Linked DNA regions of Lepisosteus oculatus. The protein of the gene in region 3 interacts with the protein of the main gene of each other region in a pairwise test. Links are inferred from orthologs where the notes say so. Each region holds a gene or a part of one and is shown on either strand. Other genes may lie near its edges. The genes, in order: kif20a, dnaja3a and atosb.

The links.
Region 1: the proteins of atosb (region 3) and kif20a interact in binary tests that used the Homo sapiens proteins (3 or more experiments, as listed by UniProt). The two-hybrid records come from large-scale screens. The link is inferred for Lepisosteus oculatus from reciprocal best matches to the Homo sapiens genes ATOSB and KIF20A.
Region 2: the proteins of atosb (region 3) and dnaja3a interact in binary tests that used the Homo sapiens proteins (3 or more experiments, as listed by UniProt). The link is inferred for Lepisosteus oculatus from reciprocal best matches to the Homo sapiens genes ATOSB and DNAJA3.

What each region holds. Positions count from the first base shown.
Region 1 is NC_090706.1:29,597,197-29,608,120, forward strand, and holds the start of kif20a (kinesin-like protein KIF20A), read right to left. Parts: upstream 4,151-10,924; 5' UTR 3,983-4,150; intron 3,961-3,982; exon of another isoform or gene 3,679-3,960; intron 1,478-3,678; 5' UTR 1,470-1,477; coding exon 1,311-1,469; intron 1-1,310. Other genes in the region: bromodomain-containing protein 8, read left to right, coding at 5,645-5,663, 6,959-7,055, 7,367-7,436, 7,538-7,587, 7,908-8,030, 8,304-8,384, 8,559-8,623, 9,351-9,487 and 1 more. UniProt on the Homo sapiens protein: Mitotic kinesin required for chromosome passenger complex (CPC)-mediated cytokinesis. Following phosphorylation by PLK1, involved in recruitment of PLK1 to the central spindle. Interacts with guanosine triphosphate (GTP)-bound forms of RAB6A and RAB6B.
Region 2 is NC_090714.1:3,738,085-3,748,984, forward strand, and holds the start of dnaja3a (dnaJ heat shock protein family (Hsp40) member A3a), read right to left. Parts: upstream 4,752-10,900; 5' UTR 4,750-4,751; coding exon 4,443-4,749; intron 2,188-4,442; coding exon 2,051-2,187; intron 1,677-2,050; coding exon 1,593-1,676; intron 1,053-1,592; coding exon 849-1,052; intron 736-848; coding exon 583-735; intron 1-582. Other genes in the region: coro7 (coronin-7), read left to right, coding at 5,350-5,631. UniProt on the Homo sapiens protein: Modulates apoptotic signal transduction or effector structures within the mitochondrial matrix. Affect cytochrome C release from the mitochondria and caspase 3 activation, but not caspase 8 activation.
Region 3 is NC_090698.1:67,318,057-67,328,546, forward strand, and holds the start of atosb (atos homolog protein B), read right to left. Parts: upstream 3,977-10,490; 5' UTR 3,760-3,976; intron 3,096-3,759; 5' UTR 2,910-3,095; coding exon 1,722-2,909; intron 1-1,721. UniProt on the Homo sapiens protein: Transcription regulator that may syncronize transcriptional and translational programs.

The DNA.
Region 1 (10,924 bases), on a different chromosome or scaffold from region 3:
AAAAGTTCCCTGACAACCTGTTTTTTGGTTTTAGTTAACGAAGTTGAGAGGCTCATGACAATAGCCCGCAATGACGATGACTAAATCGCTTTGCATTTTTGAGTGCAATTGACCAAAACTCATAACAGCAACGAAGTTCGTCCGTTTGCACTTTTACTTTCCGTCTGGCACATGGCTGGCTAACACTGGTGTCAGGATTAGAGAGAGGGAGAGAAAGAGCGCGTGAGATGAGGAGCTGGGAGCATGCCCAGGAGCAAGAGAGTGGGGGGAGAGTGTGTGTGCGTGCCGCAAGCATGCCGGAGAGAGTGCACGCACAGTAGAGCGAGTGCAGGTGAGAGGGGAAAGCAAAACCGCATACACCACGAGTGTGCGAGAGAGCGCACGAGAGCAGGAGAGCGTGCCCAGGAGCAAGAGAGAGGGAGAGTTCACACGAGAGCAGGAGAGCGTGCTGTGAGTGTGCGAGAGAGCACGCCCAGGTGCAAGAGAGAGGGAGAGTTCACACGAGAGCGTGCTGTGAGTGTGCGAGAGAGCACGCCCAGGTGCAAGAGAGAAGGAGAGCTCACACGAGAGCAGGAGAGCGTGCTGTGAGTGTGCGAGAGAGCAGGCCCAGGAGGAAGAGAGAGGGAGAGCTCACACGAGAGCAGGAGAGCGTGCTGTGAGTGTGCGAGAGAGCACGCCCAGGAGCAAGAGAGAGGGAGAGTTCACACAAGAGCAGGAGAGCATGCTGTGAGTGTGCGAGAGAGCACGCCCAGGAGCAAGAGAGAGGGAGAGTTCACATGAGAGCAGGAGAGCGTGCTGTGAGTGTGCGAGAGAGCACGCCCAGGAGCAAGAGAGAGGGAGAGTTCACACGAGAGCAGGAGAGCGTGCTGTGAGTGTGCGAGAGAGCAGGCCCAGGTGCAAGAGAGAGGGAGAGCTCACACGAGAGCAGGAGCGTGCTGTGAGTGTGCGAGAGAGCACGCCCAGGAGCAAGAGAGAGGGAGAGTTCACACGAGAGCAGGAGCGTGCTGTGAGTGTGCGAGAGAGCACGCCCAGGAGCAAGAGAGAGGGAGAGTTCACACGAGAGCAGGAGAGTGTGCTGTGAGTGTGCGAGAGAGCACGCCCAGGAGCAAGAGAGAGGGAGAGTTCACACGAGAGCAAGAGAGCGTGATGCGGGTGTGCGAGAGAGTGAGAGTTCACACTAGAGCAAGAGAGCGTGATGTGAGTGTGCGAGAGAGGGAGAGTTCACACGAGAGCAGGAGAGCTTGCACACGCTGCGAGGGGTTTGATATCCCAGCACGGCTCCGCCTGCGCTGCCCCGTCGCCTGTCTCACCGGCGTGGGGGCGTCCGCTCCAGGGGAGATGACTGACAGCTCGGCGAGGCGATGACCCCCTCTCTGCCCGCCGCCGGTCTCGGCCGCCGTCGACTCGAACACCGCAGCCTCCTCCTCGTCCGACAGCAGGCCGCGCGGTGAGGCCCCATACGTCGCCATGACAACCACTGCGAAAGCAGCAGACAGCCTCAGGTTAGAGGGGTGACACCCCACCATCTCCCAGACCCACTACACCTGCAGCCACTGCCCACTGAAGGGACGCACACCCACACCCACTCACACCCCCCTCGGTCCCTGAGCCCCCTACACCTGCAGCCACTGCCCACTGAACCGACACACACCCACACCCACTCACACCCCCCTCGGTCCCTGAGCCCCCTACACCTGCAGCCACTGCCCACTGAACGGACACACACTGGTCCATATACCCACAAACAGCAGGGAGACTGAAGCTTTTTTCAAATAAATGAAAATCAGCAGTATAACAACAGAGCAGACAGCCAGTGATGATTTTACAATAAAGCTAATCACTCCAGGCTTTACAGTGCTGTCAGTCACACTCCCAGTGCACAGCAGTACAAGTCTCACGCTAACAAGTTTCGCTCCAACAAATAGGAATAATAGCAAAGCATCAGTCCAGAAAAATAGCTCTAAACCACTGGCTCAAACTCCGAGCTTCTATTGTTTACTGGGTCCTGTTTGTGTTCTAGCAGTAGCACATAAGGAGGCGAGAGACCCGATTCTCCGTAGGCAATTAGCAGAACTCTTCCAAATAGTCGCTCAGGCACAGAAAGGGCAAAAAACGGAGGCAAGTCAATCTGATCTACGCTTCAGATCAATGTTAACACCTACTACAACTACACCAGACAATCGTCTCTGCGAGACTCTCAGAAAAGGTGGGTCTTGTTCAGCCGGGCAGAGCTACAACAGTAACAGACAGCATCCAGCATGGGATACATGGGGTCTCGGTAGAGGCATAATCCCACTGCTGGCAGCAGGTATTCATGGATGTGTTGGGATTGGGAACTGGTCAATGGGCAGGACACTCAGGATGGCGGATGTAATCAGTGGAGCACCACAGGGATCTGTACCGAGAACCCTGCTCTTCAGAACTCACAAGTATTTGCCCAGTCCCGAATGCTGTCTAAATCTTAAGAATCCTCCGAGTTCTCGAGTTTAATTCCTTGTTGTTACAGTCCGTCTATCAGCTTTTCAAAACCTTAGGAAAACTCCCGTGTCCAATTTAGGTTAATTAGGTTAATGAATGGACTACAGAGGGCGCAAGGCCCTGCAGGGGCCAAGTTAGAGGCTTGGGACAGTGTCACAGGGGTCAGGTGCAGGTAGGTGGTTAGAGAAGTCTGGAAGGAGCCAGCAGCCTGCAGGGCACAGGGCTGCCTCACTGAACACAGACCAGCTTCAGAGCTGCCTCCCTCTCTCTCAGCAGTGGAGGTAAATTCCACATGGGGCCAGTCCACTAAATTCCACAGGTAACTGCTAATCCCAGCGAGAGAGCTGGACAAGGGGGAAAAACAGAAACTCCAAGGGGACAAGCTCGTCCCACAAGGCTCTCCCACACCCCCTCTACACAAAGAGAGCCGTAGAACAAGCTGCCCAGCCAGTCAGGACAGGAGGCACGTCTGTACACAAAGAGTGGTGGGAGTGTGGTACAAGCTGTCCCGCTACGTTGTGGAAGCCGATACCCTGTTTTTTTTTTTTTACAAGAAACAGCTGATCACTGATCCCGGGATCAATTAGCTACTATCGATCAAAGCGGTCAGACGGGCCCTCCTCTCGCTTGTTAGCCCTGGTTCAGATCAAGTCTTAGAGCGCGGTGTGGAGTGAAAAACCGCATCGGACCCGGGACTCTCCGGGTCCAGGAATTAACAGCAGTGTTGGTATTGCGGTGCTGCAGTTTGTTCCTAATTTGCAAGCCTGTGCGTGAAGCTCACTTTCACGAGGATAAACAAGTCAGGCGAGCACGCCCCCCCACCCACCCCCGGAGAAAGGAAACCCGCACAGATACAGGGATAGTCTGTGGAGAACCCGGCCGTTTCAAACCAGTTCCGCGGGTGGACAACCCACTCAGACCGCGCACGACCCTCTCTCTGCGGACCAGCAGGCTGGGGCAATTTCAATGCCGAGAAGCGAAGAACATGCACACGGGGGGTCAGGCGCACGCGTCCTTTTAAAAAGGGTTTTTGCCCGCCTCGCAGTCTGATACTCTCGATTTTATTCTCTAACCTCTTCAATACAGGGCTTTCTTTTGTCAGTTCACAAAAGTCATGCAATAAAAACTGTAAGAACACAATATACCATCAAATTTAGAAATAAGAGGAACACTGGGGTGTTTATAGCAACTGTATCTTACCAGGTCGGAAGTCTGTTTACGGTAGAAAGAGCGCACGCAGTCGGGGGGTCCACAGATTAATTTACACGACCACACTGTCCGCAGTGATTTTAAGGTTTCGCTCTCTTGGTCTTTTTTTTTATTTACTGAAGTTTATTGGCGTGACCGACGAATTACTGTTGTAATACTTCATACAGTAACAGCAATCGGGTGTAGGACATTTATGTCTTCGAGCGGTGTGTCCTCAATCTGAAAATTACCCACATTCACTATCGAGAGAAAACACGCAACCTCATTTAGTTCAAAGACAAAACAAAACACTAACCTTCTTTAAATACAAACGCAGGTTTTTCCGTAAAGTTCTGACGTCTTCTGACTGAGTGTCCTCTCTAGAAGTTTAAATAGAGGCACATTAAAAGTCCTATAAACCCTTTCCTCTGTCGACTAAACTTAAATTAACAACCGCGCTGAACTAAGAACTCTGGGACCAGCGTTCAGCCCCTCAGCAAACCGATTCAAACGTCGCGCCCCGGAGGGACAGCCAATCACCTTCCGAGTGCCGCCCGCAGCCGCCCAATGGCAGCGCTCGGAATGCGAGGGCCGCCGCTCCAGCCAATCGGACGGCACGCTGAACCCTCGCCCAAGGCGCAGGCGGAGAAAGGGCGCGGCGGCGTGCCTCTGTGAAGGAGAAATAGAGTGCGACCAATGGAAACTGGCTCCATGTTGGCTCAAAAAAAGAAGCACCGTGGCGAGCTGAGCCAACATGGCGATCTACCGCAGCTGGTGGGTGCTCGTTTAAACCTTTAGTTGTTCCTTTGCATCGCTACAGAGTAGCCTCTAAGAGCTACGTATTCATGTTCACATCGGCTTTATTCCCACATGAGTAGATATTGTACTTATCTACTTGAATAAACCTGCTGTGTGAATTTAGTCGAGAGAAGCCAGCGTTTCTCGCCCCCTTACAGATATGTTATTCTTCCTGTGCTAATAGATTATCTAAACAGCATGCCATCTTTAGACAGCCGTGCAAATTCGTTTAGTGTGTGGGCAAGCACCTCTTTCCCTCGGGGACTGAACAATAAATGTGAACAGTATTCACTTCGGCGGTACTAAAGAAGCATTGATGTGAACCCACATCGATTTGATAAACATCTGGACCGCCTGTCCCACACAAACGGCGCATTGTTGGCAGCTGAGGAGCCGCAGGGCACAGCGGGTCACGTGGGTCGGCCGGTCGGGAGTTTGCACTTCCCAGCATCGCCGTCAGGAGTCGCTGTTGTCGCCCCCCCTCTGGGCCGCGTCTTGCCTTGATGGCGCTGATCTGCGGGCGAAGTCTGTCCCAGCCCGTTGTGTTAGGAAAGGCGCCTTTGATTGTGGGATACTAGGGGTTGCAAATAGACGCCTGTTTAAAAGTGTAAACTCAGATTAACATAGGCAGAGGTATCCAAATATAGGACACAACTTAGAAGTATGTAGTATTATAGAAACAAATATAGGTAGTAATGTAAAATATATAATCGTGTAGACACGCGAACACGGATGATACTGTAGAAAGTTGAATGCAGTTGATTTTGCAGAATTACAGTATATAACACCCCAGAAATGCAAATATAGGTGATACTGCAGTGCAGAAAAAGTCTTTGGAGGATGCGGGCATCGATCCCGCTACCTCTCGCATGCTAAGCGAGCGCTCTACCATTTGAGCTAATCCCCCTTTCTTATTGGGCCGGCCCTGAAGTCTGTATATAAACTAATGTAAACAGTACAGTTTACAGAAACAAAGACTTTAGAAAGTACAATATTCCCACCTTATTTGTATTTCTATAGATAAAGTGTATTTTCCATGAGCGATATATAAATTGGTCATACTGTACATGTCCCTCCAAAGCCAAAGACTTCATTTCCCAGGCAGCATCGGGGCTAGAAAAGCACTTTGACCTGGAAGTGCAAGTGCTCAGTGGCGGTGTGGGAGGGGCAAGGAGTCAAGATGGCGGGCGGCATAGGGAGTAGGTGTTGTTTATATTTTAATTGTGTCTTTGTACCTTTATCAGTGTTTTGGAGTTGTTTCTGTGTTTTTGTGTGTCTGTTCTGCGCGATGAACGGATGTTTCTCCTTACTCCTTATGTAAGGTTACCGTGACTTTCCCCAGAAATAAGTGGTATTCTGGTAACGGACGGTTTTTAACGTAACATTAGGAGTAACGTAACGCAGACACAAAGACTGTAGTTCAGGATTTGGCCCGGGGTGTACGAGAGCGTCTCAGTTTTCGGTCTGTGTGTCATACAGAGTCTGAACCTGAAAGAAAGTTAAGAGAAACCACGCTGGTAGCTGTACTAACGCTTGATAGGGGCTGGCTGTTACTTCCTACGACACCGCTAGGCGTGCGCGTATCTCTTGTTTATTACTGAACACTTCCCACGTTTTTAGTACCAGTTAGTACTAACTATCCATGATCGGTAGCCGGGTAAATATCCTTTAGAAATATTCTCGCCATGGCCGGTTGAGTATCTTTTAGACCAGTGGTCCCCAGTCCTGTAGAGAATATTCCTGGAGCCCGAACGCTTGCTGCCTTTTATTCCAGCCAGACCTCAGGTACACGATCCAACTCTTAACTGACTGAACCAGGTTTGACTCGGGCTGTTTGTTCTCAGCAGGCGGCATGGTGGCACAGTTGTTATCATTTCCTCAGCGTCAGTGACTCCTTTTGTGATTAAAGAGCCAGGTTTCAGTGTCTGGTACAGTGAGAGGGAGACTGTCATTTTGCTCACACATACAGTTTATCTGTTTTAATATGACCTTTCTCTCTCTCCCTCCTCTCCTATAATTTCTCTGCCCTGTCCCCTGTCTCCTCCTCTCCTGTCTTCTCTCTTCTCTGCCCCCTGTCCTTTCCCTCCTCTCCTGTCTCCTCTCTGCTCTGTCCCCTGTCCGCTCCCTCCTCTCCTGTTTACTCTCTGCCCTGTCCCCTGTCCTCTCCCTCCTCTCCTGTCTTCTCTCTGCCCTGTCCCCTGTCCTCTCCCTCCTCTCCTGTCTTCTCTCTGCCCTGTGCTCTCCCTCCTCTCCTGTCTTCTCTCTGCCCTGTGCTCTCCCTCCTCTCCTGTCTTCTCTCTGCCCTGTCCCCTGTCCTCTCCCTCCTCTCCTGTGTCCTCTCTGCCCTGTCCCCTGTCCTCTCCCTCCTCTCCTGTGTCCTCTCTGCTCTGTCCCCTGTCCTCTCCCTCCTCTCCTATCTTCTCTCTGCCCTGTCCCCTGTCCTCTCCTATCTTCTCTCTGCCCTGTCCCCTGTCTTCTCCCCGACTCTCTCCAGAGCACAAGCTGATGTCGCTGGGCCCCACAGAGCCCTGGTCTGTGAGGGAGAAGCTGTGTTTGGCCTCGTCTGTGATGAGGAGTGGAGACCAGAACTGGTAAGAGGGGCTCTTTCTTCCTGTCTCTCTGTCTGGCGCTCATGGCTGCCAGACAGTTTCCCTCCAGAACTGTCCCCTCTTGCTCCTCTCCCTTCTCTCTCCTTTGCCTGTGTCCCCGTCTCTCTCCTCTCATTCTCTCAATTTCCAGCTGTCCCCCCTCTCCTCTCCGTCCGTCTCCATGTCTCTCCTCATCCTCTCTCTCTCCCAGCCTATCAGATTCAAAGAGCTTCACTGGCGTGACCGATCAGCCGCAGTGTTCACAAGGCAGGTACAGTTAACTCCACAGTAACAGATACATCTCCCTCTGCCAGGGTGTCGGTCAGCAGAGCCATCAAGCCCTTTGCAGAAGCAGGCCGCCCTCCGGACTGGTTCTCTCAGAAGGTAGGAGACACAGTGATGCTCGTTCTCCTGCAGTGTTTCCTCGACCTCTTCAGCGCCGTGACGGTAGTGTGTTTTTCCTCCTTCCTGTCTGTCTCTCTCAGCACTGTGCCTCCCAGTACTCGGAGCTGCTGGAGACCACAGAGACGCCCAAGTGAGTGCAGCTCCCCATCCCTTGTTCTTGTGTTGTGTTGTGTCTCGGGTGTGAGCAGGTGGGGGTGGGGGAGAGAGAGTGCGGTGTTGTGTTGTCTGGTGTGTGAGAAGGGTGGGGTGAGGGAGAGAGAGTGTGTTGTTGTGTTGTGTCTCGGGTGTGAGCAGGGTGGGGTGAGGGAGAGAGAGTGCCTTGTTGTTGTGTTGTGTCTCGGGTGTGAGCAGGGTGGGGTGAGGGAGAGAGAGTGCGGTGTTGTGTTGTGTCTCGGGGGAGGTGGTGGGGAGACAGTGCAGGAGTGTTGTGTAATGTTGTGTCTCTCTCAGGCGGAAGAGGGGAGAGAAGGGTGAGGTGGTGGAGACTGTGGAGGACGTGATTGTGCGCAGACTGACAGCAGAGAGGATAGATGAGCTCAAGAGGCTGATCAAAGACACTCAGGAACTGCACAGGTACTATTTTGTCCTGTTACTCTATCCTGTGTCCTACAGTATTGTCCTGGTAATCTGAACTATTGTGTAATGTTACTCTACACTGTTTTCTACAGTATTGTCCTGGTAGCCTGAACTGTTGTGTAATATTACTCTACACTGTTTTCTACAGTATTGTCCTGGTAGCCTGTGCTGTTGTGTACTGTTACTCTAACCTGTGTCCCTGTATGCTGTGCTGTGTTGTGACCTGATGGTCCTCACTGTAGTCCACTCTTACTGCGTCTCTCCCTGCAGGAAGCTGAAGAAGGAGGCAGAACTAATCCAGGCTGGACATCTGGACAACAAGTTGGAGGAGCTGTGGGGGGAGATCGTCCTGTGAGTCTGTCCATCTCCCAGTGTCTGTGAAAGGCCGCCTGTCCTTCTGTGTACTTGCCTGGGTCTCGTTGCCTGTGCGTCTGGCTCAGGAGATGTCTGTGATTTGATTGTGGTTGTGGCGCGGTCGGCAGGCGGTGGCGGCGTCACTGATGCGGTTACTGTTCCCGCCTCCAGGAAGAAGAAACAGGACGAGGAAGAGGCGGAGCTGAAGCGGAAGGCCACAGATGCAGCCTATCAGGGTACAGTACAGGGACACGCCCACTGTCGGTCCTGCTACAGCAGGGGACCCCAGTCCTGGTCCTGCTGGAGATGTAGAGCTCATCCCTGCTGGTTTCCGTTCCAGCCCAGCGCTCAGTTGCTCAGCTGAACCGTTAGTCGACTTAGGATCAAATTAAACCGCTTGAACGTGTTCAACCCTTAAACATGCTGGAGAGTTCATTTTCTCTTTTGCATTTCATAAGTAAGATCAAACCCCAAACTTCCGAGTATATATACAGTGGTGTGAAAAAGTGTTTGTCCCCTTCCTGATTTCTTTTTTTTTTGCATGTTTGTCACACTGAAATGTTTCAGATCATCAAACAAATTGAAATATTAGACAAAGATAACACAAGTAAACACAAAATGCAGTTTTTAAATGAAGGTTATTATTATTAAGGGGAAAAAAAAATCCAAACCTACATGGCCCTGTGTGAAAAAGTGAAGGGGGAAAACACTGCATATATAAAAAAAAGCCTTTCCAGCGTTCTGCTCGAGTGTCTGGTTGGTTCAGTGAAGCTTCAGGAAAGTGATTAAGCCGGGCGGGAATGAGAGCCAGCAGGAACGTGGGCCAGCAGGACCGGGATTGGGATGGCCGGCCTGCCAGCCAGCACCTGCCCCAACTGTCCTCAGATCTCTGCCACCGTGGAATAGGAGGCGCTCGGTCCTCCCCTCCCTGACTCCTGTCTCCACCTCTGTCTGTGTCTGCAGCCCGGCAGGCAGTGAAGAACACCCCTAAGCGCGTCCCCAGCGTGACGGTTCGCTCTCCGCTGGGCTCCAGCTCCCCAGGCCTGGACTTTCCCATGGCCGACCCCCCCCAGCCGGTCCCCGAGGAGGCCAGCGCCAGCGTGAGTCTGTCCCCCGCCCCCTTCCCCCTGTCTCTCTCGCCTGCGCCCCCTCTCTCTTTCCCTGTTTCCCCTCCTCTTCTTGCATTCTGTCTCCGGATATGATTACAACTGCTGATCCTGCCTCCCTGCCCCTCCCCACAGACCCCTGGGGCGCCGGTCTTCATGCCCCTGACAGAGTCAGCAGGCCCCGGGCCCCTGGAGCCCAGCCTGGGGCCTCTCCTAGATGACTCCCCGCAGAAGAAGGTCCTGGGGCAGAAGGTCACCCCGCCCCCCTCGCCCCTGCTCTCCGAGCTGCTGAAGAAAGGCAGCCTGTTGCCAACCAGCCCCAGACTGGTGAGTGGTGTGGGGAGGTGGGATAGGGGCAGTCGTGATGCTTTCAGGATCCCGAATAATCCCAAATCCGGGCTCCGTCCAAACATTTCTGTTCCTAACGAGTAGAGAAACACGAGCCGGAGGACCCCAGTGCAAACTACAGCAAGCGCATTGAAAACAGGAGGCACTTCTTTAAATAAAGGATAGTGGGGGTGTGGAACAAGTTGCCAAGCAACGTAGTTGAAGCTGATACACTTTTCTAACAAGAAACAGCTGGATGAGATTCTCCAGTCAGAACAGAAAGCACTTCTTTACACAAAGGGGGATGAGGGTGTGGAACGAGTAGGATAGGATAGTCAGATCAAATTTCTACTGAGTAACTACAATAGCTTGGTAGGTAACTACAAGCAAACGGGCTGGGTGAGTGATCTGGCCATCATCTCTTCTGTAATCTTTATGTATATAATCAGTGCCTTCACAGGGCCTGTCAGAGCTGCTCTCTGTAGCATCAAACAAAGACAGCATTTTTGACAGTGTTTTTTTAAAGAAAGTATTCATATTTTGGAAATTGATTAAATGATAGGTTTGTCATTTTGTTTAATTGATGATACACTCTCTCCGATCTCTGGCTGGTGTGTGAGCTCTGAATGACCTCACGGGTGGAGGAGTGGACTGGGCACAGGTAATGGGGGTGATTCTGCCTGTCGAATGTCACGCCTGGTGAACAAATATGTCCCAGTTTTCAAGAGAATAGCATGTTCGTGCCATTCGTTTCTGGGAGGCTGAACCTCAGGTAGACTGGGCATGCAAGGAGCTCAGTCCTCTGTGAAGATGAGTCAGGCTTGTGTGTTGACCAAGTGTGGCACAGATCTGCTAACTGTAGAGTACAGCTGACCGCCGATAGGGAGGTTCTAGTGTGAACATTTGAGCAGAAGTGTCTGATCCCCACCGAAACCCCACCTGTAGTGAGCAAGAGCAACTTGAGGGCTGGGTGCTATATTGATCAAGTCCTGGGGCTCACACAATGGCCCAGGGTAGGAGAGAGTCCCACAGCACAACATCTCTAACCAGACACAAAGTGCGAGTCACAGACCTACAGCTTGAGCTGATTCCAGCAGGAGCCCC
Region 2 (10,900 bases), on a different chromosome or scaffold from region 3:
CTACATTAATTCGTTTTGAATATTTCCGAGACCTGAATTATTCATCCATTTGTAGAGCTGCTCACATCAGGCTAAGAACACACGGCTCAAGTAAGTGTGTCACGCAGCTCCGGCAAGGAGCCGAGCCTGTTTAACAGAACCCAGGTTAGAAGAAAACAAAAGCCGCGTTTGTTTGTGTCTGGGGAGCTCTTCCGGCTGTTGGGTTTCGTCAATTTGCTTTCAAAGGCAGCTTTTCCCCCCACACACAACACCTCATTAAAATAAATTAGGCATCACTGGCCATTTCGGAAACCCCCATAACCGCCCTCTATATGGTGGTCTGGATCTACAGCCCTCGTATCGGTACGATGGAGAAAAAAGGTCGCTTCTGTGAAAATGTGCACCGTCCTGGAGGCGATCAGACTCAGAATCTAGTGGTGGATGCTGGCGTGTATATATACTGTTTAAGTGAGGGTTCTCATGAAAGGTGTGGACCTGGCAATGCTGCGTGGGCGGACGTTAGAATAAGCGCCCGCAGGACACAGCCTGGCAGGAAGGCGCTCACCGGCAGTGGGTGCCAGGCGTGCGTTCGGAGGTGCTCACCATGCCAGTGCCGTTGCAGTAGTGGCAGTGCTGCAGCTTGGTGCCCGGCTCGTTGCCCTTGCCGTCACAGCGCTGGCACGAATCCTCAATGTTGACGGAGATCTCCTTGTTCACCCCCTTGGCCGCCTGGGTGAACGTCAGCTCCATGACGTACTGGGGGAGGAGAAACGGCAACTCAATTCGGCCCCCTCCCAAGATGTGATGATCCGAAGCCTCTGGCGGCGCGGAGTCGGAGACGCAGGGTCTCTCCTCCGCGAGGTACGCACCTCCTGGGGCTGCTCGAAGATGGAGTTGAAGTTCCCGAAGCTGGAGCCGGAGAACTCCCCGAAGATCTTGCGGAAGAGCTCCTCGGGGTCCATGCTGGTCCCGCCGCGCCAGTACTGCTGGCTGCCCGCTCCCGCCTGCCCTGGGTCGAACCCGGCTGCGCCGTAGGTGTCGTACTGCTTCCTCTTCACGTCGTCACTCAGCACCTGCGCGCAGACGGGGGGTCCGTGAGGAGGAGGAGGAGGAGCAGCGAGCTGGAGCCTTCCTCTCCCTCCTGCTCCTGGACTCCCGCGCAGCTGAGCTCTTTATCCAGCTCAACCGGCTTGCGGTCCTGCTGTTACCTTTCTAAGCCTTCTGCCTGCCTGGAGGCTGGCGGCTCACTTATTTCTTTATGGAGCGCGACAGTAAATCGGCTTCCTCCTGCCCGTGACCCTCGCGGGTTGAAAACGGCGAAGGAGGTCGAATTCGTCGCTACAACTTAGCAAGCGCAGCACGTCTATACTTCTCCAGGAACGGGAACCCAAAGTTTAGAAACCAGACCGAAGAGTCCCCTTTCCATGGAGATCCAGAAGCTTAAAATGTAGAAAGAAGCAACCTGCTCGAGCACAGAAAAAGTTGACGGGTGGTTAAACTGTTATGAAATGAATATGTAAAAATGGGCAACCCTGGCCCGAGCTTGCGTAGCTTTAAATCACTCAAAAATACACCCGAGAAGTGGAGACGTAGGTCTGTTTTCTCAAACTTACCTCATAAGCTTCCGCCAGCTGGGCAAACTTCTCCTTGGCCTGGGGGTCATCCTTGTTTGTGTCAGGATGGTACTTCTTAGCAAGCTGAGGGGAAAAGGCTTCAGTTTAGTCTCCAGGGGCCCTTTGCCCCCCTCTCGCGTTCCAGTCGCAGGGACAACAATTTACTTTATTTAAACAAACGCCTCAGAGTCTCTGCTGAACACCGACATCCAATGCCTGTCCCTGCCGAGTCAGTTCAGCACTGAAGGAACATTAAACACAGGACTTTCTTCTTACTGGTCTGTAGGCTTCGCCTTCTGTTTCCGGTCATGGCATAGAACAAGAACCTTTAATAAACAGTTTTATCGGTTTCTTATTTAAGAAATAACAAAGGGTACAGGCTTTCACAGAAATTCTACAGCAGCTCTCGTCATCTTTCCTGCGTCTGCAGTCTCTCGAGCTGTAGCCACGTCTCTCACCTGGTAATAAGCCTTTTTGATCTCCTTCTGCGTGGCCGACCGGGACACCCCCAGCACTTGGTAGTAGTCCTGCTTGTTTGACGCAGAGGCGCTGGTGTGGAAGGCGGGGGCAGGGATGACACTGGGGCTCCTCACTCCTGTATGGGCACGTGGAGACCCGGCTTAACAGTTGGGGTCTGAGCTCTGCCAGGGGGCACAGGCAGACTACAGCACCACAGCCCAGGGAGGCAGCAGGCCAGAACCTCCCGTGAGTACAGTCTCCCTGGGAACTCAGAACTAGAGTGCTGTACTTTTTAAAGAGCAAATCAACATATGACAGCACTCTCGGTATTAAACTGGAATATTCCTTTCCAAACCATACTCCATGTGCAGCTGCAAGACTGCATAATATTATTGCAAGACTGAAATAATAAAGGACATCGCTAGCTGCCTGAACCCCATGATGTCGAACTGCTTAAAGATAAACTGCTTGTTGATAAAGCCAGAGATCAACTGTCATCAGTGCAACTTTTGTAAGCAGACTCTCACTGGTTACTGCAAGGATCCACAGACGTCAGGCATTTAAAGCACCATACAATATAACAGAATCCAGAAAGTATTCGTACATCTCTCCAATCCACAAGAAGACGAGATCAATGCTGCTTTCTGAACTGCACTAAAGAAAGTTCCAAACGTTGCTTCTCTGACATCAGAGTGCACTGATTCTTGATATCTTTCCTGATCTCCAGTTAGGCTTAGAAAGAAAAGAAACGTAGCACTCCGTTACTGAGTGTACTGTATGTGTCAAGAGAAATCAGCCATGCAGGACTGTGTACCGATTTCATGATTGACTTTGTTGCATAAGCACTAATAAACTCACATTAGTGGGAGAGCTGAGCAGAAACAGGTCAAGGGGTGATCCCAACCCACCGATTGTGAAGAAAGAAAATTACAGAAAGGAACTGCAACGCCCCAGTTATAAAAATAACCTCTATATATTGAGGCGCCTTCACATCCTCATGCTGCGTGTGAAACATGGGCTTTCTGGCAAGATGAGAATAGGACATGGTGTCTTGTGGGTATTCTACTGGCCTGAGCCCCACTGGATGAGGTAGGGAGACCTAAGGCATTTGGAGGCCCAGGGACAGACACAAGCTCACAGGATCTATGAGGGGAAAAGGGCAAAATCCAATTGCAATGTATTGCAGAGAACGAATCCCAGATGTACAGCTTGTACTGTTTCCAGCTGTGGCTCCAGACACTATTACACTGTGACCTAACACAAGACCAAATGGTGATCAATTCTACTGAAAGCAACTTGTTAATTATGGCACTTCTGTTCACCGAAATCTCAGTACTCCACCTACTAAAAAGAAACTGCTAACTTTGTCAATATATTGCATATATAAGTCATGACTCTGCTGAATATCAGTTTATACAAACAGCAGGCTCTTGCAACAAATGAATCTGATAATCACAATGAAAAGTGTTTATTTTGGTAATACTTTCAAATACTGGCCAATCCAGTCTGGACTCCTTATGGATCTAACTGTTAATCAACATTTGGTACAAGAATAACCAGAGGAAGCAAGTAGCCTATGAGATATATTCAAAAAATATATCTTGTTTTAAAAGTTTAGCAATGTCAGCTGCTACCTGCTCAAAGTCTAGCAATGTCAGCTATTTGTCGTTTTTATCCCAATCACACCTAGAAGATTTGGAACTGAACACAAAGGGCGTTTCGGTAAGATGCGTCCATTTGACGCTTTCTCGAATACTGTCGCAACTAGTCTTCAAAGGTAAACAGATTGAAACCTCCATATGATCAACATTTACATATAGCTCAAGTCACCACGATAACTGTAATTATATCTTCCGCACTAGTCTTCAAAGACTTTTTCTGCAAAAAGGGGGTTTATGAATTACGAGCGACACATGCCTATGGGTGCCTTTTGTCACAGTTTGTTTCTGCGGTAATTTTTCCCTTCCTGCTCTTAAATCTCCACAGCCGGAAGCATGGCACACAAAGTAGCGACCATGCTGCCAGTCAAGGTCAGCTGCTGGAGCGGAGGAAGTTTCTGGTAGCCGAAGAGAGCACACCTGCGATCTAAGATCAACACGAAAAGTGCTGCTTCTTGCATGAAGTACGGACGTCAAACAGAAAATATATGCAATTTACGATCATGTCATCCAGAGGTACTTTGTGTCACGCCGTTACGTCTCTTTCGTAATGCCGGTAGAGACGTCAAGGGAAGCACGCGTGTAGTCTAGACATATCACACATTTCACTACAATATTGACAACGCAATGAAAGAAATACGCTAGCTGTTAATTACACAGCCCCCAAACCCTGCGCAACTGTAATGTACATTGCAAGAGTTCAGGATATAGGCATTCCGGCTCGTCTCATTACCTGCTAATGCTCTCAATGTCAGGACGTGGCCGGGCCCTCCGCCGCCCCCGGGACGATACTGCGATGCACTCAAGGCAGGAACGGGACGCAATGTCTCCGTATGGGCGCGGGCGAACCGCGAGCAGCCCCGACGCTGCCCGGCGGAGACGGCCACGAAGATCCAGCGTGAGGAGCACCGGACCGCAGGAGACGCCATCATCATGTACCAGGACTGACAGAGGCAGCGCAAAGCGCATGGCCGGGAAAAGCAACGGGCCGCGCATGCGCGGAGCTGGGCGAGCATGCGCAGTCCAAACGCAGGGGACATTCCCAGCGCGAACATGTCACATGATAGGGGTGAGGGTGGACTTCAGACTCTTCAAGAAAAATAAAAAAACGCTTCAATAATTATTTTAAAAACACGAACTGCCTCTGCTACATGGTTTTAAACTTTAACGTTAGATTCCATGTATTATTTATTTAATTTTAGAAGGTTGCTAGCTTTTTAAAATCAATGCACTTAAATGTTTTCTTTTCCCCTAAATCAGGTACGAGTTTCCCCAGCAGTGCAGAGACTCATCTCCGACAAATACGTCCAGAGGGGCCCAAAAACAAAAAGAAAACCTTCTCCCCAAGTCGTGTAGTAATATGCAAAATAAACTCCCAGTTGCGAGCTGTGACTGAGAGAGCCTTTAATCCCAAGGGGGCAATTTGTTCAGCATCAGTTGGGCGTCTGCTGGCCACCCGTTTTACACCTCTCAGATTTTTTAAAAGGAGGGTTACTTACAGTAATTAAACATAAACTTTGTTAAATTTAGCAGTATTGTAAAACATCACCACTCGTTTCAAATTGCGCACCATACATGCTAAGTAGCAAGAGAAGTCTGAAATCGCAAAATGCCCCCAGTACAATCTGAGGTTTGCAGCAATGTCACTAGCTCGAGGTGGGGGGTCAGACAAGACAGCATCAGCCGCTCCCGTTCGCATCGATCGCCGAGTGAATCGCTGCAAGAGACAATCGACCGGCACTGTTGTGCTGTCAGTGCAGCTGCTGAGCGTGTGTGCGCGTCTGCAGAGACGGGGAAGGAGTGGGACAGATAGCAAACGGGTCACTGGCGTTGAGCAGGACGGCGAAGGAGAAAGGAGAAGGATGAACCGCTTCAAAATCTCCAAATTCAAGAACACCACCCCAAAAATCCCCAAGAAAGACGTAAGTCGGCGAGGGTTGGGTTTTGCAGTGAATGGGGGGAGAGACGTGTGCTGGCATTTCAACTTCCTGAATACTGCTCTCGCAAAGCTGTCCCGGAGTCATCATTTTTCAAGCACTCGTTCAAATTCAGATTGAAATGTACGCTGGTTTTAGAAGAAGGCTTCCAGACGGCCGCTTGCACTGCAGGTTTTAATTAAAGGATGGGATTCGCCTCTTTTTATTTTTCCGTCTGTGCATGACAGTTTTTTTTTGCTCTAATTTGAATGAAGGTTTGGTAAAAACTAAAACCTGGGAGGTTGTAAACGCTCACGTTACACGGAAAAATAATTTCCGTCCAGACGTGATTTGTGTTTTAAATTGCATGTGCAAATAAGACTGCTCTTTAAGAAAACAGAACAACGCTTCATTTCTACCGCGCGGTATGTTTAATCGTTTCTAAAAGTTTAGATAGACTGAAATATTGTTTACAGCTGTGAATGATTTAATGCAAATATATGTAAAACACGATGCTCAATTACCTCGACTTTTTTTTTAAAAGTCATACCAGGATGTGTGTTAAGGTAGCGTGCATGAACAAGCTGTGCTCGGAGCGAACCTGAATTTATTAATTACTGTTCTAGCCTTGACAAGCACGATAGAAAGTCAAAATAATCGTAATTCGCCCATTCTGCCATTTGCTACCCTATCGCGCTCTTCCTGGTGTGTAAAATCTAATGAGTAGCTACTAGGTCAGCTCCGACGCAATCCAAATGTTTTGCATAATTTTCAAAGAAAGTGGTTGATTCATTGTTGATCTGTTTACGGGGAGGGAATTCATCTACAGATACGTCTGTGCAATAGAGTGTCGACTTCAACTTTTTGACGAGAGAGGTTATCTTCCTAGCGACCTTCACACGTGCTGGAATATAGGCTCTGCTGAAGGTGTGAAATGATCCCGGGCACTACTCTGTGTTCCGTGCGTGGGCACAGCGAGATCACAGGTAATTTCTAGCCCCGGGCAAAGGAAGTCACCAGTTTCGAGATATTCCTTGGGCGAGGTTTTGTTTTGGCCAGATTGACGGTGAGTGGTGGAATCTGAAGTCAGGAAGGTGTGGCTTTTCCCACGCACAACCGAGATACACTATATCGCTGTCGTTTCTGATTGAGTGGTTTGGAAGCTTTCAGAGGAAGCCTCACCTGGAGTGCATTGCAGGCACACGTGTTCCACTTTGTGCTTGTGAATTCCACCGCACGTTTCTACTCAAGAGTAAAACCGAGGTGCTCTTCTAAAGCTGATGAGTTTTAGATATGGGGAGTCCTCAGTCGTGGAAAACTTCTTCTTGAAGCATCCATCCATATATCAGGACAGGGTTATTAATTGGTATAATGTGCATATCGTTGTGTAATAGCGACCCCTGTGGTTGGGGGGAGGGAGCTGCAGGACTGAGCTGCATTCAAACGGGCTAAGAACTCATCCCCACTTATACTCGGCTTTCCTACTTTGCAAACGTAGTTCACCTTTGAATGTCTCAAACCTTTGAAGCTTATATTGTGGACCTATCCCATTATGATGTTTTAAACCAATGGTATGAATGAGACCCAATAATTTTGCATTGATAACGTGCTGGAGGATGCTGGACTTTTTAACCATGTCTCCATTCTTTCTGTAAATTGAGTTGAAGAGCTTATTGGCAAATATCTTCAGTTTTCATAGACAGCCCTGAGGCAGAGACTGAACAACGGTTGTTGATCTACCAAAACGTGTACGAAAGAAGTGGACACCTGAGGAAGGCTCCACAGTCGAAACACGGTGTCTCTTTTCTTTTCCTTTCAGCCTGGAATAAACCTCTCCCTGCTCCTCTGCCGCCTTCGCATGCTGCTGCAGCTGCTTACTAAAAGAAGTCACACACTTCTGCCTCTGGTTTTCATCACGCGCCCTGCTGTTAAAGTTTAATTGAATTAACTGTTTTGACGGGCCGTCAGGCGTGATGGTTTTCCAGTCTGTCCAACAGTGATGCTTTGTCTCCTGTCCAGTCTGCACGCAGAGGCTAAGATTCATATTCAGTGGAAGTGTCCCCTGCTTACCCACGGGGAACAAAAAAATCCTTCAGGGATTTCCTGTTCCAGGTGGGACTGACAGATAACATGTATTTCAGTGCTCTGCTGTCCGTGCTCTCTTCTGCTAAGAACCTCGGCGTCCGTCTTCAGCCCCGGCCTCTCCTACCCAACACGTTTCTCTGGGATGATCTTGTCTTCTTCCCTCTTGAGCAGCAGTCTCAAGACCCCTCCTTACTGGCTGTCCCACACAGCTGCTCACCCAGGCCCTGGTGCTGTGCTTTTGAAGATGGTTTCTCGTTTGAGGTTTTTTGCATTTGCAGGGTCTGTTAAATCCTACCACAAGAACACAAATAAGGTGGAGACTGTTTAGTTCACAGAATGGACTATTAGTAGCTGCGACAGCTATGTTCTGTTGTAGTTCTGTCTGTGTAAGGCTCAGAAAGTTGAGGAGTGACATTTCTTGGTATAGCCAAGGGTTCTAGTAATAGGGGTGACACATTTTTAAAATATCGTTTTGGGATGTGCTGTTGCCTTTGGTGTACATCCCTCAGAAAGGATGGGATTCCACTCTGTTTACAGAAAGAGCAGCACGGTTACTACAGTCAAATGCAATGAGAAAGGGGTTCAGCTCTGTCCTATTTAGAGATGATTAACAAGGCAATATATTGCTCCCCTTCAGTTTGCCCGTGCTATTATGACGCACAAGTGTGGGCTAACCTATCTTTTTGTATATTTTTGGAGTGGAATTTCAGACTTATTTCTTTGTGTTCCAGGACAGAGTCAGTCCCCGCCCTGTTGTTAGTAGGGCACAAATACATTGGCTGTATGTCGCCTTTACAGAGGCTGGTACAATAGTGTTGATTTGTGGATTACAGTGATTTGTTTGTAGAGGCTGTTGGCATTCAGTCCCATGTGTGGGAGCTTCTGTACTGCAGCCTCTGGCAAAGATGTAGATTTGTAATTGCGTTAAGAGCCTCTAGCAAGAAAGCTGCGCCTCAGAACAATGTGAGCACATCTCTTGCCTAGAAATTTAGCGGAGGAGTTAGTTTTCAACGTTTTCCAGCTGCCACTTGAGCTGGATTTCCGGGATGGTCCTGCTTTCCTTGTCCCCTGAGGCATGTGTAGCCGCAGCCAGTGTAGCTGTGCCGGTCCAGAACATCAGTGGCCTCCAATGACACCCCAAAACCAGGGAGATGCACAGACTCGCCAAAACCACCATCTTCATATCTGGTCCTGGAGACCTGCAGGTTTTTTTTAGGTAACTAAAAATGCTCCGTAACTAAAGGTTTGGAAACCCAGGTAAGTTGGATCAGATAATTCAATAACTGATTCGATAAACTCATTAAGAGCGCAGGTGGATTGAAAAGCAGCAGGGCCTGCAGGTGTCCAGGTTGAGGAGTGAGTGTCACAGGACTAATACAGTCCAGTCGTGAGGAGTGTCCACTGTGTGAGCAGAGGTCATCCCTGCAGCACAGGAAGCTAGAAATCCCCCTGTAGAGCCCAGATTCTTTTGAATAAATGTCCTCAACCACTGGAAACTTCCTGTTTCACCATGGGCTCCCTTGCAAGCTATAGCTCAGGGGTTCGCAGACCTGCTCTGGCAAGTGTGTCCAGTTAAACAATAATTAGCTCATGCAGTGTGGACTGTAAACCTAGCGACACGACGTCCCTCCGGGACCAGCACAGGGATTCCCTGCTCAGGATAAAAGCCTGGATGGAAGTTCGTATTCTGATTGAGCCACTGGGGAATCTTGGACACGTTTTTAAATGATTTGCAGCGCAGTGCCAGAGTTTCGGAGACTTCCACAGCATTGTGCACATCACTGTAGTACAGGGCGAGCTGCCAAGCTGAGTCCATTGCAGCCACTCTCCAGAATCCCTCTGTCTCCAGCCAGCTGTGGAGCAAATAGAAGCAAAGAGCTCACAGCCAAAAAGAAGTAAACTGGCCCTGGCAGCAAATGCAGTCTATCTTTGGGCTGTGGGCACTGTGCATTCCCCAGCAGGTTATTTCTTGTTTAACTGTAGAAAATGCTTTATAAATTCACTGTGAGACTTCCCGTTACTAGAACAACTGTGCTGTATTTTTAAGGCCTCCTTCTGTTTGGTCATACAAAGGCTTTACAGAAATGGAGGCTGTGCTGTGTCTGTTTCAGGATGCCTGTTGGCAGCTGTGACACAAATCAGTCACCTGCCGGTGATCGATAATAGCCCCACGACGCTAAGAGCCCCTCCGGTTGGCTTGGAGCCCTCAAGGCCCTGGCTCCTCAGCAGGCGCGCTCCGCTCGGGGCGCGCCGCAGGGCTCCACTTCCTCTATTGCCGCTGAGCCGAGGAGCGGCTGAGGCTGCGTTCGCTCTCTGCTTCCTGTCGAGGTGCGGCCGCCCCCCCCCTGTTTCCTGAGCGAGGCACAGGGCAGTATCCGCAGAGCTCTGAACCGAGCCAGGCGGGATCCCTCTGAGAGCTCAGCTGTCTTGTGCGGTTTCTGCCCTGCGGGTCTAGGGACACCAGTCGGGGAGAGGAGGAGGAGGAGGAGGGGAGGGGGGTAGGGGGGTCTTTTCCATTCTGCGGCAGGAAGCGGACACCCATTGCAGAGCGTTTTGATCCAGTTCGGTTTACACACCAGTCCCCCTTTTGCTATACTGATGTAGCAGCAACACATGCCCGTTTATCTTTAAAGATGTTATCTTCCTAGCAAAAGTTGTTTCCCTGTCTGCTCAGGTTTTATTTACATATCCGTTAATAGTCTGAAATGAGTAGCTGTCTGGTGTTGGCCAGTATCCAGGAGACCACAGCTTGTGACACCTTATGACTTCGAACTGCTCTGCAATGGTGGGGAGTTCTGCTTTCATCCCCGTTGCCTCATTGTTCATCAGTTGCTCAATGCAAACGTTCTGACATTCCTTTCTCTGGTTACCTCTTTGTCATCCATCACTTAATTCTTCCTTCCATCTTTTTTTTACTGTAAACATAACATTGCAGAATGAACACTAATTCTTTTTCTCTGTCTGACTATTACACTTGTAATGACACTTCATCAGCTCGCCAGGGGCTCAAAGTCGCTGCTTTCCCTGTCTCGCGCGTTGTCACTTTCTTTGACTACAGGCGTGTACCTCTGTCTCTATCTGTGTTGTACTCAGGCTTTCCGAGTCTAGCGCAAAAAGTCTGAATGCTAAGAACTCTCGAGCTGTGCTTACAGGGGTGGGACCATTATCAAGCAAAAAACTTAGAAGTGAT
Region 3 (10,490 bases):
TCCCATTAGCTCAATCTCTCTATTCTCTCCTACAGAAAATCCACAATATTAGAATTGCTGGAGTGCAGTCTTTGTGTGGGCTAGATGTCTTTTTATGTCTTTTTTTTTTTTTTACTTCCTAGGAGCGATGCGGTGGCTCTGTGGCTAAGGATCTGCGCCTGTGGCCGGAAGGTTGCCAGTTCGTATCCCGCGACCGGCAGAGGAATCCTACTCCGTTGAGCCCCTGAGCAAGGTCCTTAACCCCAGCTGCTCCAGGGGCACCTTATAAATGGCTGACCTGCGCTCTGACCCCAAGCTTCTCTCTGTCTGTGTGTTTCGTGGAGAACAAGTAGGGGTATGTGAAAAAGACAAATTCCTAATACAAGAAATTGTGTATGGCCAATAAAGTGATCTTATCTTATCTTACTCTTACTTTTTTATCAGTCTTGTGTCAGCCCCTGACCCTTTAAATTCAACCAATGTGATCTGGTAAAATAAAGAATTCAAAAACACACAAACTGCAGAGAGTTGAGCTGTAGCAAAGTCCTAAATTAAGGTCTTGCAAAAATGTATATTTTACAAGACAGCTCCAATCCACTGAGAGCAAATCACAAACCAGTGTTAGTCAATTATGCCCATATCCAAAGGATCCAGTTTTTTTAAAGTGCCTTGTATCTCGACATGGGATTTTGATTTGAAGCTTATCCAATGGGGAAATTCCTCAGCTGAATTGTGGTAACATGGAACATGAGGAACACAAACGCTTATTTAAATTTGGAAGGGTAGTCAAGTTACAAAGCTCATTTTGAACTAGGTGAAGAATGCATTGAGAAACAACTGTTTAATTTCTAGACTTTGTAAACCTTGTGGCAAACAGTCAACTGACATTATTTGTGGAAAGACATGTCAAAAAGACTGTAACCATATGGCAGGGTGAAAACGAGTTGTTCTCAATGACCTTGATTGCAGACAAGAGAGAATTCTCTCAATTTACAATTTACAATTTCAATTACAATTTCAATTGTATTTTTCAGTTACAATTTCACAGCACTGAGTGACTGGAGAGATTTAAACTACATTTAAAAAAAATGGCCCTTGATAATATTAGAAATGCCAAATATATAAATACAATAAGAGGCACAGGGGTTCATAATAATTGCTTACACTTAAATAGCATTTGTTCTGGACACTCCACTCAAAGTGCTTTAAAGGAATGGGGATCCCCTCCACCACCACCAATGTGCAGCCCCACCTGGATGATGCGACGGCAGCCATAGTGCGTCAGAACGCTCACCACACCTCAGCTACCAGTGGGGAGGAGAGCAGAGTAATAAAGCCAATTCATAGAGGGGGATTATTAGGAGGCCGTGACTGATAAAGGACAATGGGAAACTTGGCCACAGAGAGTCAGGACCTCGGTTTTACATCTCATCTGAAGGACGGTGCCTTTTTACAGTACAGTGTCCCCATCGCTATACCGGGGCATTAGGACCCACATAGACTGCAGGATGAGCGCCTCCTGCTGGCCCCACTAACACCTCTTCCAGCAGCAACCTTAGTTTTTCCCAGGAGGTCTCCCATCCAGGTACTGACCAGGCTCACACCTGCTGAGCTTCAGTGGGGCTGCCAGTTGTGAGTTGCAGGGTGATATGGCTGTTGGCTGTAATTAGTAAGAGCCTCGACTGAACAGTTCAGTTCTTTTCAACAGGGCCAACACTGGGCAGCTGCCCAGGTTCTCTCACCTTGGGCCGATCCCGGGCTGACGGCAGCAAGTGGTTCCAGAAGGGGGCGGCCTTGGCGTCCGTGCTCCGGCAGGACACGGTGACCCCGTGGGGCAGAGAGAGGCGGCTCCTCTTGGAGGTGGAGGGACCCTCGTCCTCGGAGCAGGACTCGCCCGTGTCGCTGGGAGCCAGCAGCTTCCTCTTGGCGGGGCAGCTGCTGGGGCCGGGGGAGGAGGAGGAGGAAGGGCCTGGCCGTCTGGAGCTGCAGGGCGTCTTCTCCGCCGAGGCCAGGCCGTTGGTGGAGTGTCCTTGCTCTGGGGGCAACAGCTCAACACTCACCTCTGAGCCTACATCTCTGCCCGGAGACACCGCTGTGGAAGCAGGAACCTGTGTCCAGTCTCTGCGATCACCATTGCTGAACGCCTGCTCCTCCAGCAAGGCTCCGTTGGCCTGTGCCACTGAGTTCCCACTCTTCCGCTGGGCGGGAACGCCATCTCCCGGCTCTCCTGCTGGGTCTAGCTCGCTTGTTGGCAGGCTGGCCGAGGCAGAAGCATCACACAGCCGTGCAGGGTCTTGAGTTCGGCCAGCAGACGAGTACGGGTTTTGGGGGGAGATCGAGTCCTCCCTGCTCTGGAGCAGCCGGTCCTGGTTGTGCTCTGAAAGGCGTCTGGCCATCGGGCTGGCGAGAGGCACAGGGAGAGAGCGCCTCCCCGCCGCCGGGCCCGACTCTCTGCCCGAGGCGCAGTCCTTGTGCTCGATCACACATGTGGCGGTGTGGGAGAAGTGCTGGCCCGAGCCGCACACCACTGCGTTTTCGTCTTGCAGCAACTCCAGGGGGGGCCCTAGCTCGGACTCTTGGCCGGGCAGGTCGGGGATGCCGGGGGAGTCAGGCCAGGTGTCCGCACCGTGCCCAGGCAAAAGCAATCGCTTGGGATCGGAGTATGGATCTGCCAGGCCCCTCTTTACAGCCTGCTTCTCAGCTTTCTGTTGGCCTCCGGTGTCGGAGAACCCCCCCAGCTGGGAGAAGATGGACAGCTGGTACACCTTTTGCAGTTTGATCTCGTTCTCCCCAAACGGGCGGAGAAGTCCTTGACCTGACCCCGAGTCCAGGCCTCCCCTCTGGGCATTCGGGAGGGGTAGGTCCCCCTCCTGGGCAGCCACCTCCACCGGAGCCTCCTTCCGTGCAATTTCCACGTGGATGTGTCTCATCGTTCCTTCAGTTTGATTGTGTCGTTCGTTTGTTTTATGTGCACCAGATCAAGTAAGAAATAGTATACGATAATCAAGTATTTAATGTGCAAAATGATTCAGGACTACTACTCCATTCCAGGAGTCAGCAGCGAGTCACTTCTCACAGTGGAGATACTTTGTTATGGGAGCATAGCAGCACAGTACCTGCAAAAGAGCAAAAAACGAATCTACACCGTGTGATCAGGAAGACAAGTTACACTCCTAAGTTATGTAATATTACATGAACCCTTGTGAAAATTAACCCTTCGGTCCATATAACCACCACCTTATCCTTGATTTAAATTTGTGTTTTTCTTTATAATGGCCCAGATTACCTAATAGTACTTGTTCTGTAGGTGTCCTTCATTCAGTTAATACATAAATCTTGAACAAATTAATATTACTGCCTGTATAGTACTGCACAAGCCTTTATCTGTGTCCAGTCGTATGATATGTCACAGCTTTGGTTATTTTATCTTTGGTAATATCCGTTAACATTTCTGTATTTTCTGGTTTGCTAAACATTAATACTACAGTATTTCTTGAAATTAATCCAGTATAGGCGAGTCTTCTTTTCGCCTCATCTGCCTGGTTTGTACTGCTAGCTGTAACGCCGACTGAGTTCCTGCACTCTTAGTGCGTGGCTACATAATACTGTAAATGCAAGAAATTCAAATGCGTAAACTGCTGTAATAAACTAATAAAACACCCTAATATGACTTGTTCTTGTTTAAAGCCAGTACAATAAGATATTGCTGGTTGATCTGAGGGCCCTGTGGATGTTATCGTAGGCTCCTCAGGGCGAAGTGTGGTCACTTTGTTCTCATACCGCTCCTCCTGTGCTCCCCTCCTTGCCTAGTTCGGTCTCTGCTGTGCCTCCTGCCACCTGGGACCGCCGTTCTGCCCCCTGCCACTACCCTCGGAGCCCGTCCATCCCCACAGCTGCCAGCGCGTCCTGGCTGAGCCAACAACACCATCCCAGGACAGGCTGGCGCAGGGCGGGGGGGGGGCGGGGGGGCAGCAGGATCAGCACAGCACCGGGACACACTCCCTGGAAGACAGAGCGGAGCACAGAGGGATCAGGACCGGCAGGACTGCAAGACTGACTGGAGGAGCAGGAGCACACGGCTACAGTCGCTGTACCAGTAGTGTAGAGATCCGCAGCCGGTAATCAAGCTCACGTACCGTGGGGTAGGCATCACTGAGGTCTGGGGGCGGTATAAAGGACAGGTAAGAAGCAGGTAGCTGGCACCCACATCCACTCCCTCCCCCTCAGAGTCAGCAGTGTCCTTCCAGATGCCTGGGCATGAGGCCGGTAGGCACCGTGTTCTGGCCTCATAATTAGGCACTCATTCCAGTGGAAACACCTGGGATCAAAACAACAAACAGGAGTGAAAACACGCATGGGGATGGAAGTTTCTCGGCAGACTTTTTTTTTTTAATAAGAAAACCCCCAAGAAGTGCCGTAGCAGAGAACACACGGGGTGTGACAAAGTTGAACAGCAATTCTGAAATGACTTGATTAACAGTTGGGTTAAAACCGTCAGGCAGCCTCCTTGTTCCTTATAACTACTTCGCACTGAGCCTTCGTGTATTCTCTGGAACCCTGCTTCTCTGCGTCTGCATTTGAGCTTTAGCCATTTGGTCACACTGCCTACCAATCCTACCTTCTAAACCTTCCTACTGTATGTTCCACTGCCTCGGCTTCATCCCCGAGGAAACATCCTCACCCTTTCCCTCTTCGTCAAAACACACACAAAGTCTGCGTGACGAACCTGACTAAAACCACGTGCCTTCAGGTATCTCATTTCTAAACGTTAAGGCCACACTCGCTTCCAGTTCTCAGCGCCCCACTCTGGCTCTGCTCTGTTTCCGTCCTCCATTAATTCAGTCCGCAAAGGTTGTTGCGTGCCTTGGGCTCCTCGGTCTCCAGACAGCACGCCTGCCTCATGTGGCAGTTACTCTCTCTGGTTGGACAGGGACCAGGGGAGGGGGGGGTAGAGTCAGCCCCCGCGACAACAGGCCTTTTGTGTTCTTCCAACTCAGAAACAAGACATGGTCTGCCTGCCAAAACGAGGACAGGTCGACTTCCACAATAGTAACCCATCCACCTGCAGTTTTCTCCCCAGTCCTGGAGCCCGGATCCCCTTAACTGGCATGAAAACACCTGGAATTATCTTTCCACGGCGAGTTGTGAGGCAACATCCTGGAATTTGATCCGAGAGGGTTTCATCGAGTCTCTTAAACTGACTTCTTGCTGCTACATTTCTGAGATAAGAGCCTGTGTCAGGATGCTAAAGACCCCAACAGAAAGACATACCGGCTTTCCACTACATATTAGTCTCCATCATGGAATAATAAAGGGTCTCGTTTTTGTCCCTGTGTTTTCCTCCATGTTTTATACCAAGTGTGTGAAGAGGCCATGTACAAATTTGCTGTGGCGGGTGTGAGCAAGGAGAGAGAAGTCACAATTGCAATGAAAAAGGAGATGGAAATCCAACACTACAGCCGAAAACACAAGAAAAGAAAAAAATGATTAATCAATGCAAAATGTGAATATTTAACCAAAGTTTGTATATCCAAGTTTGTATTTACAAGAGCTGTGATAATATCACCAGCGCTCCTTTCTAGTAGGATAAAGAAAAAACAAACAAACAAACAAACAAAAGCACAGATAGGGTGGATTCCACTATGCAGAAAATCAGCAGTTCAGCAAAAACCCTGGCTTTGAAATTCAGTTTGAGAAACCAATTTCACCGTCTCCGTACAGCAGATTACAGCAATTGCCTGCTATCCATCACAGTCAAGTATAGCATCCTTAAATAGGAATTTAAGAGGCACAAATTCATTTGCGCTCAAGGGCATCCATGTGTGGTTAAGCCAAAAGATGTACCAAATGAAACGGGAAAATACAGAAGTTCACAGCATAATGAGCTATACTGCGTTAAGCTGCATCCTGTTTCTTCCTTATGAGAAAACAACAAGTTGTGATGCATCACATAAATCTTTCAGCGTTCTAGTTTAAGAGTTAAAGTAAGCTTGCATGTTTCTTTTTGATTTTGCAATTTTCTGTTTTTTTCTCCCCTTTTACAAGAAAAAATGCTGGTAAACTAAATGCAATGTAGATATTATATGAATTTGTAACAATATTTCTTTGAGCACATGATTATTTTTTTTGCTTTATTTACCATAAAACTAGGACACAATTTCTACTGCACTCCAGTCTCTTAATATGACACACACAGTAAAAACCCTCTGCCACAATAGTTCACATGATTTAACTAGTATATTTAAGTTAGACCAAAGCTTGTTAAGGAGGATATTGTCCTTAAGATCACGGAAAAAGGAATCTAAATACTAATTTAGATTTCTAAATTAGTATGCTATTGTCTATGTGAAATAAATGTACATTGACGTCTGAAAGCATCTAATTGGATTGAAAAGGTTGTAATGAAAGTGACAGACTGAAGCCAATGCTGTTTTTATTACTGTATGTGCACTGCACAGTGTTTTCAAATGACAGCTACAGGGAAAGTGCAAGAAATTCTGCATGGTACTGCAGTTCTGTCAATGTGCTCCAGGCATGTTAACAATTGCAAATGCTGTTAGCAACAGCAGTTTATTGATGTTATGACTAACGAGCACAATTCAGAAAATTTGCCTACAAGTCAGCAAGGGCATGTCTTCATGTTAAAGAAAAACCATGCATCTTCCTTTATGGATATGCACGCTGTCATAATACATTCACAGCTGTCAAATAAAACGGATTGGAAAGAATGTGTTTGTGTCTTTGTGTGTGTGAATATAGGCATGCACACACAGAGGGTTCTGATTCACAGTGCCCCCCAGACTACACCCCTCTGATATAATTGCAGATGAAGACTCCTAATCATGCACAAAGCACATCTTCCCAGAGGAATACTCAGGGATCACAGCATCAAAAAGCTCTGTCTTTAGAGAGAAGAAGGGTGAACGTGGACTCCCTCCCCCTAATAGTGATGATTTTCTAATAGCAGCCCTATACACAGAACCCACCTGAGCAGAGGGCTCTAGTTGTCAGGGCTGCCAGACACAGGCGGCTACACACTGGCAGTGTCTGTGAGGACAGGGGCCTGTTTCTCTCTGCTCTCTCTGCACTACAGACACGGATCCTCCACCACAGATCTGGTCCTTGCCCACAGCTACAGCTGGGAGCAGACTGAGTGGCTCTGACATGCCTAGCCAGCACCAGTAGCCCCTTTTGAGTGAGTGGTGGGGTGAGGAAGGACCCATGGGGGTTGAACTTCAAGACTAGGATATAGGATATTTTTAGCCACAGCTGGGAGACTTGCAAGGCGGCTGGCTGAGAGGTACAAGAGGATACACACTGATTTACCTTTCAATAAGACTGAGCGATTATTTTAAGATGAGACATCCCCCTTCAATACTCAAATTAGCAATCACTGCCTCTTTCCTAGATCCCAACGTAGGAAGTCTTAAGCTCTTCTCCCAGAGTAATGAATTTGAACATTATTGCCTTTATTACAGCTCTGACTACTGTAAACCACATACCTCTCTGTTCCTTTGAATGGAGTGTCAGGACGTCTCTTTTACCAGTTGGCAAAAAGAAATGTGCAGCCGTATCGTAAACGCGCCGGTGAACTGCGGGAACTGAAATTCGAGCTCTGGAATTAGTGATCAGCGCTGCCTGTAAACTGTGCCCGACAGACTGAGAAGGCAAAACACTCAGCAGTGGTGATGTGAAGTGAAATGCAGCTCACTTTGTGGTGTATTTATAGTGGAGTTTAAGGGTTTTTAACTGGGGAAACTACAGGCCAAAGGGATGTCATGTGACCAAAAATAAACACCTAAATCACAATCTAATTTACTCAGGCACTAGGTCATAGGCCTGCATAGGCCTTTAAACTGAAATACTGGGAAGGCCTTACACCTTACTGGGTATACAAGACAGAACACAAGAGATTACAGAGTGAAATATGATGCTTTCAGAATTATACTCAACTTAAGTGCTACACGCAATTAAACTATTACAAAATTAAAAATTCATTTTCAAGGCAGGGCTCCGTTCCCTTTAGCACCTGTATAGTGGGCTGTATTATCTCAATTTTGGAAAGAATGCACCAATGATAAAGATTTATCTCCAATTTGCATGAAGGGCTAAAGTGCAATCGGTTACAATGGATTCCCCCCACTGACTTATACTAGGAAGGAATGAACTGAGGCAGGACCTGTGAGGTGAGCTGATGAATTGCTGCTTGAAAGGCTGGCCATATTTATCAGGCAAAACAAGGATCATTATCAGAAAAGTAGACCAACCACATACAGAACCCTGATTAATTTACTGTATCTATACAGATAACACATCTGTCTCAGCACAGACTGCTTTCATATACTGTATATAACTCCTTGGACCTTTTCCACTATCCACAGTTCCCATAAAGCACTTGCATTCTGGCCTTTTGAGTTGGGTTGCTTCTGCGCATCTGGATAGATTAATTATGGCTGGCTTAAAAACATGCACAGATGTAACCTAGTGAGTTTGCATAAAAAATACAGTACCATCTGAGAAAAGGGGGCTAACCATTATTTTCCATACTCAGGAAATAACACCCCCCACATCCTCTTAATTTGGTTGCTGTCATTCTGTAAAGCACTTTGAGAGGCCACCTTTAAAAGGCACTATATAAAATAAAGTTCATTATTATTTCCTATTTCAAGTATCTTGCCTGTCTACCCAAGACGCTTAGCTGAAAACCTCCATGATCATACTGCCATGCAGACCGAGTCTCCACATGACGTGATTGTGTCCTTAATGTATAAGACTGTCTGAATGTATAATGTATAACTTATATTATTCTGTAGAACCCTGGAGTGCAGGCTTCCAGTGTTCTTCAGTATGCATCTCAGCCTTGGCTATAGGTCATTTCACAATGCCCCGAAAAAAAACAAATACAGTACTTCTGTAAAGTGAATGTTTACACAATACTAACACTAAATACTAGAAGCATGAAATTAGGGTAGAGGACAAAAGGCCTCCTAGGATATACCAAACTATAGCATCCATTCTTGTGCTACGTTATTGTCTACATGTTTTGGCCTTCTTGAAATCGCAAGGGTGATTTCAGAAGCAAGGGTGTCTTTGTTTTGGATGGTGTCGCAAGGAGAGTTCCATGGAATTGCTGGGAAACAGCTCAAGGGAGATGGGCTGCTGGAACGCCAAATGCAATTACTTCTGTTACCGAGCCATAAATAGGTATACAGGGAGAGACCTCAGCGTACTACAAGCAGTAACAGTACACTGTCCTCTGGTAGCGACTTGGCACAGGGGAACTGTATTACTACAGCGCTAGCTTCTCAACAAAGTCTTACGATTCCTGGTGCAGATTTTATGGAAGGCCTGTGTTTATTTGAAGAGGTTTTGCTGCTGCTGCTGTCTGAAGAGAAGCGTGTGTCAAGCGTTTTATTAGTTAAAAAAGGCTCGGACTGAGAACGTTTCACACAGGCCTTCTCCCCGGCCTGCACCATCTTCCAGCTCTGGAAACATCAGCCGAGGCTCCCGGCTGGTCCTCATCAACCAGACTGCAGTTTTAAAACGTCTGACCTTCCCCTTGCAGTCTGACGGCCCCCAGCCTCCACTAGGGAATGTGAACTTGCTGGCTTGTGGTATTCACCATCTATCTACCATCAGCGCTCCACATGCTGAACTAGAATATGCTACCAAATCCTTTGGGTGGTCCACAGCCAAATCCTGACCATAGCCCTGGCTGGGTCTTCAGACAAGTCTTTTTTTTTTTTAATAATCACATCGTCCAGACTCCTCCTCTTATTCACCTTGAGATCTTCTGCAACAACAAAAAAACATTCTTCCCCCACAAATGCCATGTGAATGGTTACATAAGAGAAAGGCTCATCCTGTTTAAAGCTTCCTGCTGGAATGGAGGCTGAGCCTTTTCTGCAGAGGCTGGCTGAGCAGTGCAGGACTACAGCTGTACCCTCATCTTGCTGTGTAACAGAGGCACCTGAGGCTGAGCAACAAGACTGTGTGGTGCTCAAGTCTTTATCATCTGTCAAGCACAGCTGGTCTGGCAGGCAGTAGCCTATGACCCCAAAGTAATATAAATGTTCAGTGATTGTCAGAACCCACAATGTGATGTGCTACATAAACATATCTTGGTTTCATTATATACACATCAAACAAAAAACAATAGGACTATAGTACAATAGGCACACTCAATCCAAAGCAAATTAAAACATTATATACTGTAAATGTGTATTTTCTAATTCAAAACACACAAAATTCTCTATGCTACAGAGAACAAATAAAACAGACAGCAGCTCTTGAAAGTTTTGTTTGCTGTTTAACAGCAAACTTCAGTCAAGACAGGAGGCAAAAGCTGCTGTCTGTAACTTACCAACAACATGTCCCCCTCCCCCCCAGACCGACTCTGACACACACACACACCACCTCTTTGCACCATCTCAGACGGAATGGCATCAGAGTAGGAAGCCATCACAGGGCTGATCAGATCTCAGCAATCCGAAGGCAGTGCTGAGCAGGTC